Linked DNA regions of Ovis aries. The protein of the gene in region 2 interacts with the protein of the main gene of each other region in a pairwise test. Links are inferred from orthologs where the notes say so. Each region holds a gene or a part of one and is shown on either strand. Other genes may lie near its edges.

Region 1 (4,334 bases), on a different chromosome or scaffold from region 2:
AGGTTGGTCATAACTTTCCTTCCAAGGAGTAAGTGTCTTTTAATTTCATGACTTTCTTCCATTTCTTGCTTCCTCTAAGATTAACTGACCATAGATGGAGGTGTAATTCTGGGCTCTCTGTTCAGTTCCATTGATTCATGCCTGTTTTGTGCTGATACCATGCTGCTTTGATGACTGCTGCTTATACTACAGGGGAAGAAACTTTCAGACCTGGAACACATCGCTCTCTCCATTCCTTCGTCTGCTGCTGTTGTTGTTCGGTTGCCAAGTCATGTCAGACTCTTTATGACCCCAAGAACTGCAGCACACCAGGCTTTCCCTGTCCCTCATTTTTGATGATTCTTGTTAAAGCTCCCTCCAAGGAGTCTCCTCTGTTGCCCTAGGCTTACTCAAGCCCTTTCCCTCTGTTGCTGTCACGTGTGATTATACAGAGCCCCACTGTCACTGTGTCTTGTTGGTTTACCTTCCTACTTCATTGGACCTCTAGTTGCTCCGTACCCAGTTGAGGGCTGCAGGGGACACTGAGTGACTGATTGACCAAGCTTACCCCTTATCAGTGAGGACCCTCCCTCCAAGGGCCTGAACCCTCAATCTGGATGATGTACACCAATGTGAGTGGGGAGCTCATGACTCATGTAACTTGTGACTGATACAGAGAAGACAGCAGGGCAGGTCTTCTAAGACCTGTTCTCTTCTGGCTGGTAGGCTCCCCGGGCTGGGCTAGCGCTTTTACATCAAGCATCCAGCAGCAGTTGACACTGCTATCAAAGTCAGCTTGAAAAGGACCGGGGCTGAATCCTAGGTCTCCCCCACATCCATTCTTCCTGGTTTGTGTGAGCCTGAAACCTGTGTGCCTCCTCTCTGCTTTGCCCATATTCCCCAGCCGTCCACCTCTGCTCTAGTCACCATCCTAGTCTCTGCTTTGCCTTCTCTGTCTACACCATCCACCCTGATGCCCTCCCTCAGCACATCTCTGAGACACAAGGTATGGGGAATCCTTGTCTGGACCCTCTTGTTCACGCACTTCGCCGCCAGCTCGGGCCCATGTTTCCTCGATTAGATACAACTCATGACAACAACAGGTCCAGAGCCAGCGGAAGGGCTGGGCTCCACCTCCCCTGCTGACAGTGGGCACTCGGGTTCCAAGCCCCCAGTGAGATCCGTCGTCACTGGTACAAACGTGCGGAAAGTTCTAGAACCACGCTGCCCAGACTTAAGTCCTTTTAAGGAGGGGGGTCGTCTCTCCGGGGCTCGGGGTCCTCAGCTGTAACACTTGGGGGGGCACCATAGCTTGGAAGGAGGACTGGGGACCCGCGCTTAAGCTCTGGTTATCAGGAATCGGCACTTCCATCCAGGGTGCCACCACTTTCCAAGCCGAGGCCAAGGTCCGTGGAAACCCGCGCATCCCATATCGCGCACCTACTACGCGCCGGCTCGCGCCCCGCCCCGGCCCCGCCCCCGACCCCGCCCAGGCGCCCCCCGCCCGCCCCGGCTCTTCAGCCAATGAGCGCGTGGCCCCGCATCCGGGGATCCCGGCGCGGCCGCCGCCTCCCGCGCACACACGGCCATGGCGGAGGTGAGTGAGCGGGCCGGGGGAGCCGGCCCCCGCCCCGGCCCGCGCCCCCGCCTCCTGGCCGGGCCGCGTAGGGGCCCCGGGCGCCGAGGCCCCGGGCCCGGGCTCGGAGCCGAGCCGCAGTACGGCTCCCGTCGGAGCCCGAGGGGCGCGGGGCTCCACCGTCAGTCGCCCCCGGCCCCGGTCCCCCCCTCCCGGGTGCCACATCGCGGGCGGCAGTGCGCATGTGCGGCGCGGGGGTCGGGGGCGCGGGGTGGAGCGGGGGTGGCGGGGGCGGGGAGGGGGCGCGCGCCCGCAGTTTCCCGCCCCCCCCCCCCCCCCCCCGGCGCCCGCCCCGCGTCTGCCAACTTCGCGGACCGCGCTTTCCCACCGGACCCTGCCTCACCGGACCCCCGCCCGCTGACCCCACCAGCGGCGCTGAAGCCCCTCCCCGTGGCGCTCTCCCTGCAGAGTCGTGCCCCATCCGGCCCACAGCCCCCTGACCCTATCCACCCCCGATTCCGCGGCTCTCGCCGTGCAGAGTAGTGCCCGTTCCGGCCCCCTGACCCTACCCAGCCCCCACCCCCCGGCGCTGACCTCGCGGAATCTTGCTCCCTCTGACCCTACCCACTCCCCACCCCCCGGCGCTGGTCCCGCGGAGTCGCGCTCCTGCCGGATCCCGGGACCCCGGGCAGGACTCGAGCTCCCACCTGGGGTCAGCCCGGCCCGGAGGGCTGCTTTTTCCCGCGGCTTGAAGTTGCTTCGCGGAGCCTTCTCTCTCTGTCCGCAAAGCGGGCCCAAGACCCCGAATCCTTGGGGCCGGACCGATGTTGGAGTTGAGTGTTTTGGATTTGAAGATCTGTGGGGTTCCGGGCTGTGATGCTTGAGCAAACTCAGCTGGGATTGTCGAGATCCAGACACCCGGTAGCTTCGTGGCGGGTCGAACCAGAGATGAAAAACTTTCACTTTGAGGGTTTTTGGAATGTTGGATAAAGCAGTGCGAACCTGCTTTCACCTTTTAGGGCTCTAGGGAGAATGAAATGAATAACGCATCTGCTAGGGACTCAGCAGACGTGACTCTTAGCGCAGACGGTCAGTGTGGGGACTCTAGGCAGGTCCCTGGACTCAGCAAGTGATTTTCACGCAGTGGGTGAGGCTGCCCAGGCCCAGAGAGGAGCAGACACCCGCCCGGGTCCTGGGATGCTTGGCCTGATCGGGGAGCCACGTTGGGCTGTATGTCTTGGCGCTGAGTGGGTGGGTGTTGTGGAGGTGGAACTGGCCAATTCTCTCCCACTAGTGACTTTCGCAGGGGCAGCAGGAGGCCCTGCGTTTGTGCCAAAGAGGGTGTGGGCATACCAGTGCAAGGCCAGACCTCCCCAGCCCATTCCTGTCTTATATGCTGGTGGCTGGACCCAAAGGGCCCTTCCAGAGTAGTTCTCTTTCCTTAGAGGGCATTTGGGGAGACAAGCCTCCTGGGCAGTGGCTGTACTTGTGCGATGGAGGTAGAAGCCAGGTCTCCTGACAGCCCAGCAGGGGCGTGGCTGTCCATGTATGTGTCTGCCTCAGGGGCCAGCAGTCTTGGCCAGGCAGGTAGCCCTGTGTGACAGGTGGGTGGGACAAACTCCCCAACCAACCTGCCCTGAGTGGTGCCTGGTTTGGCTGTTGACTCTGCCCTGTCAGGGCTGCCAGGTGTCCAGTTTGGGGTGAATTGGAGCTGGTTTCTTAAAAAGAAAGCCAACTCAGTGGGAGGCCCTGAGGGCCTGGCAGTGAGGGACCGCAGGTATGCAAATGTCAGTGGTGGTGAGCACGGCTGGCCTTTGCCTGGGAGGCTGCCCCTGTCTCTGGAGCCTTTCACACTGGGCTGCCTTGGGCCAGTCTCTGAGCTGGGATCCCATAAGATCTTGGCTCCATGCTTGCACAGAGAGGCTGAGCCTTGTGCAGTTCTTGTCTTGAGCCAATACAAATAGTGATTCCTGACCAAGCAGTGAGTGCTGATTTTTCTCATCACCAAGATAGCCATCAGCACCCTGAGAAAAGGTGGGGTGCTTCTTACTGTTTTGCTTGTGGATCCCAACTTAATCTTTAAAAAGCTGAGTCCACTGTCCGTATCTTGTGCTTAAGAGACAGCTTTTTGTTGTCCTTAGGGTAAAGTGCGTCTTTTCCCTGTGATCTGCAGCCCAGTGGCCTTGTTCTCTGGACCCCCCGCCCCTTTTCCACCCTGGTTCCTATCTCCCTGTGGCATCTGCACCTGCAGGGGCCTCACTGTGCGGTGGAGTCTGCTGCCCTACTGGCTGCCGTGGAGACAGCCACGCAGCCTCCTTCACCCCTGGCGCGGGGCCTCCACCCTGTTTTCTCCCCTCAGTACCCTGCACATCTGCTGTTGGCCAGTGTCCCCAGCTGGGTGGGTGACTTGCCGAGACTGGCGGGCAGAACCTGTTTGCTGATTGCTGCGCCCCAGCCCAGAGCAGGTGCGGCATGGGCTGTCAGTCAGCAGAGAGGTGCTGGGCGGCCCAGTGGGACCACGTATCTGCCAGGGGCCAGGGGTTTTGGTTAACTGCTGCTGTGTGATGAGCCACCTCTGCAGTCAGCTTCTCAAAGCAGCCAGTGCTACTTAACCACCTGTCCCAGCCTGGAGGTCTGGCTGGTCCCGCCCGTGGTTGTGGCTGGTTGGTGGCTGGGCTGAGCCGCCCACATGTGGCTGCAACACTGGCGTGGCCTGGCCTCGTGGCTTGTGCTTCCTCGCAGCATGGCGGCTGGTGGAAGTCACACTGCCTTTCACAGC
Region 2 (3,421 bases):
AGTTCGGCCTCTGGGCTCATTCAGTCTGGGTCCAAACCCTAAAACTAAGCCTCTCCTCCCAGGAAGCCTTTATGATCCAGGGAAAGCTAATTATCTGCTTTATTTCTGTATTTCCTCCACGGTGCCTGCTTCACAAGGCTATTGTGAGGATTAAAGAGAGAAAATATATGTAAGGGTTTAGTACAAGGCCTCTCTTAGTGCCCACAAAAGACAGCTATTATTTTTTAGAAAATATGGAAAATGTAAGAGGGGCAATTACTCTAAATATCAGCATTTGTTATTTCTATATAATGTGATTATGACCCCTGTTTTGGTTTTTGCACTTCTACTTGTCAAAGCTTTGATATGAACTTGTGAATTCCTTCCTGAAAATAAAACTATGCCCTTTACATATTTATGAGTCATGATGAGTACTGACATCCCCGTCCTATTAGATGAAATAGTTATATCTGTATACTTTGTAATTCCCATTCCAAACCCATAATATTCTGTTAAGAAGATAAAGTACACTTTTTCCATGAATGACTGTATCACAAGAATCTTTAATGTTTAAAGTTTACTCATGGTGAGGTTGTATCTGTGTTTAGTAAAGTGTGCCCACATTGAGTCTGTTTCAGTTCACATCACCAAACTCCACAGGGATGTTTCCCGTGCCCAGGCAGAGCACAAAGACAGGGGTCAACTTTTCTCTTGGTTAGGCCAGCTTTTCTGGGGAGTTTTTCCAAACTCTGCAAGACCAATTTACCCCAATACACAGCCTCCGTCACACGTAAAAGAATATGGAAAATGCCTCAGTGTATTTCATAAGTTTAGCATGTCTCTGGTACAAAAAATTCAAGAAAGGTAGCACAAAAGCGAAAGCACCAACTGAGCTTAATTACAAACAACCATGCATGAATCCTATACACTAATATTACTGAAATGAACACAACATTGCATTAAGAGGTATAAAAGCACTGTATGGAAAACTTAAAAGTTACACGTGAAATACTGCACTGTAGATCCTGAATACTCTAACGTCCCACACTCCCACCCTTCCTCCACCCTGGTGAGGGGCAGAAAACTTCCATCTGCCTCCAGACCTTGCTAGTCCTCGGAGACACTGTTGCGGGGGCAGTGGGCAGTGGGGTGGGCCTCCCGCAGGGCTCTAGCCTCTTCCAGAGCCTCCCTGTAGCGGGAAGGCCAGGCCTGGGGGTTTTTCTTAAAGACCCTGGCCAGGAACTCCATGATCTGCATCTTGGTGATTTCGCGGCTGGCACGGGAGCCCCAGAAGAACTCGTACTCAGGGGGCTCGACATGGGGGACGCGCTGGTACTTCAGGTAGTTCTGCTGGACGAACTCCTCGGTGATAAGCTTTCTCACGTCTCCGAAGGTGGAGTGTTTCTTCCAAGGCCTCAGCCCCAAGATGCGCAGCACGTTCCAGACTGCACTCTCTCGAGCGCCGCGACCCTTCACGTAAATGAGGCTCAGGATCATCAGCAGGAGGCCCGTCATCGGCATGCGGTTGCTCAGAGCGACCCTGTCCAACTCCTCTGGCTCCAGAGCTTTGACCAGCGAAAACTCCATGGTGTGCAGGCTGGTCAGCCTCAGGTGCAGCCCGAACACGCGTGCGAGGATGAGGCTGGTGCGCCGAAGGATGCTTCTGCACCACTTCTTGTAACTGCCGATGACATCCTTCACCATGTCTGGGAACCAGATGATCATCCTCTTCTGGTCCTTGACCAGCACGTACCACATGAGCTCGTGTGCCTTCTGCACCAGCTGGGCCGGGGCCGGGGGCGCCGGGCTGAGCTGACTTGTGCTCGGGGCCTGGTGGGGACGGCCTTCGTCAGCGGCCTGCTGCAGGGCCTTCGGGTCTCCCTCTTCGCCTGGAGCCTGGGAAGGCAGCGAGACCAGAGGGGCATCAGGCGGGCTTAAGGGAGGGCGCTCTGGCTCAGTGAGTGTCGCGGCCTGAGACCCCGGAGGAGAGGGCCCCCCGGTAATGCCGGGGCTGCCGTGCACCTCGGAGTTGGAGGCCTCGGCCGCAAAGTTGGGGTCGCACACATCCTTACTTTGTTCGGACATATCTGTTCGGTCTCGCAAGAGCAGGGCCGCCGAGTCCGAGAGCTCTTCGAGTCTGCTTTCCCTCCGCGGACTCCTGGAGAGGAAGTGCGCATTGCTGCGCGCGGCGCCTTCCGCAGAGGCCAGGCAGGGCGGGGCGGCGGCGGGCCGGGCCAATGCGCCTGCGCGTCCGCGCGCCTGGGGCCCGGCAGTCGAGTTGGCGGGCGGGGCTCCTGGTGGGCTGCAGGAGGGGGCTAGGAGGCCCCCAGTAAGCATAGAGGGTCCGCTAGAATATGGGCCTCAGTGATCACACCCCCTCCCCAGGTATCCTGTTATGGCTAAGGAGGAGTTCTTGAGGAGGAGGGGAGGGAGATGGGTGAGCACTGGACAAGGAGTCAGTTTAAGGGACAGATGGCAATTTAAGCTTCTGAAATGCTGAAACTGAACTTTCTTAGGAAGCATTTGATTAGGTATATCCAAAATCAAGTTAGAGATCAATCCAAGAGTAAGAACTAGGCTGGTGTGTCAACTAGGTTTCAGATCAGTGTGAGAATTTAAACTGAGAGAACAGCCAGGATTGCCCAAGAAAATATGTCAACTCTGAAAAAGAGAAGTCGCTTAGTCATGTCCGACTCTTTGCGATCCCATGGGCGTAGCCTACCAGGCTCCTATGTCCATGGGCTTTTCCAGGCAAAAATATTGGAGTGAGTTGACATTTCCTTCTCCAGGGGATTGAACCCAGGTCTCCCGCGGTGCAGACAGACAGTTTACCCTCTGAGCCACCAGGAGAACTAATTGGACAAATTGGAATTCTGAAGAATAACAACAAAAATTCATTGATTTCCTACCGTATGGAAGAGTTTTGAACAAGAAATGCAGAATGTTGTCAATCCGAGTGTGATCGAAGTTCTCTTGAAGGCAATATAATAATGACTTTGTTAGTGTTTTAATGGTCATTGATTTTGGTTTTTCTATTCCATTGGATAATTTTGATGTAAATTTTGTTTCATTAGAATCCCCTCACACAAAGATTATATTAGCATAGACTCATAGGATGTCTTTCCGCCTGTTTTTCCAGGACCTTCCTTTTCTTTATGACTGTTTCAACCTCCGCTTTTCTTCCTGTGGAAACTTCACCTTCTTAGAGCACAACATCCCCATCTTCCACAGATACTGAATAGTATCACATGCAAATCCCTCCCAAGATACTTTTTTTTTCTTTTTTAAATTAACCTAGATCCCCAAAATTTTCCCAGATAACAATTGATTTGAGATGTAACAATTGGTGGTTGTATATCAGTTTTCAAATTTAGAAACCAAATCTGCAGTTTTGTTTGAGACTGTCAACAAAAACAAAGTTGACAGTCCCAGAGGTGCATCC
Region 3 (4,164 bases), on a different chromosome or scaffold from region 2:
TCTTCAAGAAGCTGCTGCAGTCTGGGAGGCAAAGAGAATGCCCACTGACTGGGCCCAGACCCTGGCAAGGGCTGTCCAAAGGTCCCACATTTGTGCCAGAAGCTGCTGAGAAATGGAGCAGAACTGCTAAGGGGGTGGACTTGGTGCTCCGATGAGGGGCACTGTTCACAATCATTATAACAGGAGAGCGAAGCTGCAGGGCTGAACCATGGAGTTCAGACACGCTCATAATGGAATATGATACTCGGGGCAAGTTTATGTTCAGAATCACATGCACGTAACGACGACAGAGCACCTGATGCTTACACATCCCATGAACACTGCCTTTCAAAGTCAAGTCTCTGAGGACTCACGGGCTTGCCATTCCATGAGGACTACTTCTAGAACTCCCTGCAGAGCTGGATCAAGAGGTGATGAGATCACCTCCATCTCAGTCACAAGCTCGTTTCCTCCCCAGAAGGTGTCCTTCTGACTTCACATTTTCGCCAAGATCAGCCCTAATGAATCAAATGCACCATCACTGAAAGGATTCTGTCTTGTTCAGTTAGTCAAATATATGTTAATCCTTCCTAAGTGGAAGGCCCAGCTTCTACTGTGGGGAGAGGTGCGGACGTGATGAAAGTATGTGTATCCAAGTGCCTTTTGAGAGGTCGTCCAAATGCTTACTAGCTTCCAGTGACACCCACAAGACACATCTTTTCTATTCCTTCAGGATCTCTCTAAAGGTTACCAGTCTAGACAGGGAATCCTAAAAATGTCTGAGCAAGGTGATTATTCTGCCAATAAACATATTGCCATTCTCCTATCTCCTCTCACTGTCAGAGTGAAAGAAAGCTTAGAGGTCTCAGGAATCTTGGACAGAAAGCCTTGACTATCTTTTCTCTTTGTCCTCTTCTTAGAAAATGAAAATTACCATAAATTATGACTGTAAGTAATATGGAGAAGAAAGTACAGTAGGTCCAGGAGAAAGCTCTGTGCCAGCTTTGGGTCAAGCTGAATTTGTCTAGTATGATGACAGTTCAGGTTTTTTTGAACAGCTTTACACATCCTCGGTAAACTTAATATGCTCCAGTGAGAAAAATACCTATCAAAAAAACTACCCCCTTTTGGGACTTCCCCAGTGGTCCAGTGGCTAAGACTCCATGCTCCCAATGCAGGGGGCCCAGGTCCGATCCTTGGTTGGGGAACTAGATCCCACATGTTGCAGTTAAGAGATCCCATGCTGCAGCTAAATATGACACAGGATCCCGAACTGAGCCCTGACACAGCCAAACATGAACAAAGACAAACACAGACTGCGCTCAAGGCCAAAATGATTCTTAAAAATTGTACTTAAGATTAAAAAAACTTTATCCCTTTCTGTAGGTTTGGAAATGTTTGTAGATAATGTAATTTCTTCAACTCACTCAAGCTACTCTGACCAAAGACCCCAGATAATAAAACCTTTCACCACCAGAAAACTGGATCATACATTCCAAGGCAGCATGGGTATAAACGTGAAATGGCCACGTTGAGTAGCTGCCTGTGCATATTCAGAGCCTCAGTGGAAGATGTGAGGTATTTCCAGGGTGCCCACCTGTCTCCCAGAGACCACACCAGTTCACCTGAGGTGATGGGGGGCCACTAGCATTTGCTCAGGATGGTCTTCCTTCACAACGCTTACAATTTCCTGGGAGCATCTCTACCTCATGGCCTAGTGTGCGTTCATTCAAGGTAAAGCAAAGGCGGGTGGCTTTCTCTTTCCCTTTTAGAAAGCTCTGTCAAGGGCTGCTGCTGCTGCTGCTGCTGCTGCTGCGGCTAAGTTGCTTCAGTCGTGTCCGACTGTGCGACCCCATAGATGGCAGCCCACCAGGCTCCCCCGTCCCTGGGATTCTCCAGGCAGAAAGTCTAAATTATCTCCCAGGCCTGCCATCACGTTCACTAGCCAGAGAAGGAGCCACAGATTACTCGTGGGAGTGGGGGAAGACACAACACACGCCTTGGCAGATGCCAACAGCAAGTGGTAAGAAAAAAAAAAGAAGCAACACCACTTCAGCAAATATTAAAATCCAACGTCTCCTGCGAGACTGCAGGTACAATGGGTTCCTGATTCCAGCTGCACCACGACACTGCCTGGAAGAGCTGAAGGGCAAGGAAAAGTGCGCGAGTGCACACACTTTCCTATGTGCACATATGAATGCATACGGATGTTTCCACAGCTGCATTTGTGGATTGAGAATGGCTTTCAATTTGCAGCCTGAAATGTTAGCTAATTATTTAGAAATAAAAACATGAAAACAAAAAAGTTGGCTTTAACTTCAAAGCAATTCCGAAGCGCAGCTTAAGAAAATTACTTTCTTAGCTGAAAAAGAAAAAAAAAAAATTGTGGCGGGTGGATCTCTAAATTGGCCGTATTTCCAGCATCCGGGCCCGTACTGGGACGCGGGCTCGGCGGCCGGTCTCCCGCGCCCCCGGTGTCCACACGCACACCGTCCACCCCCACGGGCTGCCCCCACAACCGCCCCGCCTCCCGGAACACGCCCAGGCGGCCCCCCCGGACACCCCCCCGCCCACCACGCCTTGGAGACGGCCGTTACTCCACAAGCTGAGACACCGGCTGAAGCGCGGCTCCACGCGCCCCACCCGCGGCCGCCCTGAGCACAACCGAGACGGCAGCCCCTCCCAACCTCTTCCGCCCGGCCCCGAGGACCAGAGCCGCTATCCTGACTGTGTCGGGAGACGCAGACAAGCAGAGTCCCGCGGGGTCGGCGCGGGCTCCTCACTCCACTCGCCGCTCGAGTCCACCCGTGCTCCGTAGCCCGCGGGGCCTGGTTAGGCAGCCGCCTGCGCGTGCGCACTGCGGCCCGCCAGGCCGGAAGCGTGCGCGGGGGCGCGTCCGCGCAAGCACAGCAGTCCCGCCAGGCGGGGTTGGGGGCCGGGGTCGTGGGCGGGGCTGCGGGCTGGTCCGGTCCGCGCACGCGCAAACGAGCGCTCCCGGGAGGCCCTTGGGCACCGCGCCACTTGCAGGGCCGCCTGGCCCCTGGAGCTGCGCGGCTGAGCACGTGTCCGCGAGGACGGGGGCAGCAGAGACGCTGCAGGTTTTAACGCGCACCAAGAGACCTGTCGTTTGCACTTCATTGTACGTTTCACAAGCAGCAATGCCCCGTCTGTTCCGCCTCCTCCGTCTACTGGAGAGAGACACACATAGCTACCGCTACGTTAGAGAAGGCCTTTAAAACCCCGCACACGGGCCCCTCCGCGGTGCGTCTGCTGGAGCCACGGTAGACCCCCGCCTGACACCGAGGGTTCCCGAGACCCGAAGACGCGGTCCTCGTGCTTAGACCGCCTACGAGCTGGGCAAGCCCTCCCCTCATGAAGCAGCAGCGCTGTGTGCGACTGACGGGTGGGAGCGCGCCCTCGGTGGCGCCGGGTCAGAGCCGACGCCTGCGCGCGGGCGGGAGACGCTTGCAGACCCCAAGCACTGTCCTGACTGTCCTCCCGCAGGGCCACCAATCCATGCAGCATCCCTGCCTGCCTTCCCCTCATCCTCCTTAGCAATTCCGTCATCTTCCCACTTTACCTTCTATTGAATACCTTTAATCCTTTTTGGTATAAGGTGAGGATATAAATTTAAAACAGGTTTGCTTACTCTGAAGTGAAAGTGAAGTCGCTCAGTCGTGTCCGACTCTTTGCGACCCGTGGACTGTAGCCCACCAAGCTCCTCCGTCCATGGGATTCTCCAGGCAAGAATATTGGAGTGGGTTGCCACTTGCTATTCTGGGAATACCGTCATTTCCACTTTAAATACGGCCCCCAAGCTCACGGCAAACCATGCTTTCATTTTTTGATTGCTTGGATGACAAGCCCACTAAACCGCATACGTCAAAACCAGCTATAATTTAGGTTTAGGAAAGCAGCAGGAAAGAAAACATATACATCAAGCTAAAAGAATAAATATGAATCGAGAGACAATAACCGACTTTCACGGCAATATTTTTTTTTACAGAGGTAGCAGTGTTCCATACACAGGACACTGGAGATAGGAAGCCTTTATTCACCAGAAAGGCTTATTTATGTTAAAGCAAGTTATATTTGGATTAAAACAGGTCTGTAATATTTTAAGCTTTCAAAGTTTCAACTGCTTTCTCCGTATGTGAGACAATAGTTATCTGCCATTTAATGTGT

Evidence for each region.
Region 1: the proteins of NDN (region 2) and MIER2 interact in a two-hybrid assay, tested with the Homo sapiens proteins (2 studies listed by BioGRID and IntAct). The link is inferred for Ovis aries from reciprocal best matches to the Homo sapiens genes NDN and MIER2.
Region 3: the proteins of NDN (region 2) and EEF1AKMT1 interact in a two-hybrid assay, tested with the Homo sapiens proteins (2 studies listed by BioGRID and IntAct). The link is inferred for Ovis aries from reciprocal best matches to the Homo sapiens genes NDN and EEF1AKMT1.

Annotation. Positions count from the first base shown.
Region 1 is NC_056058.1:40,733,162-40,737,495, reverse strand, and holds the start of MIER2 (mesoderm induction early response protein 2), read left to right. Parts: upstream 1-1,525; 5' UTR 1,526-1,567; coding exon 1,568-1,576; intron 1,577-4,334. UniProt on the Homo sapiens protein: Transcriptional repressor.
Region 2 is NC_056071.1:620,208-623,628, forward strand, and holds NDN (necdin), read right to left. Parts: upstream 2,153-3,421; 5' UTR 2,065-2,152; coding exon 1,087-2,064; 3' UTR 523-1,086; downstream 1-522. UniProt on the Homo sapiens protein: Growth suppressor that facilitates the entry of the cell into cell cycle arrest.
Region 3 is NC_056063.1:36,035,175-36,039,338, reverse strand, and holds the start of EEF1AKMT1 (EEF1A lysine methyltransferase 1), read right to left. Parts: upstream 2,810-4,164; 5' UTR 2,667-2,809; intron 1-2,666. UniProt on the Homo sapiens protein: Protein N-lysine methyltransferase that selectively catalyzes the trimethylation of EEF1A at 'Lys-79'.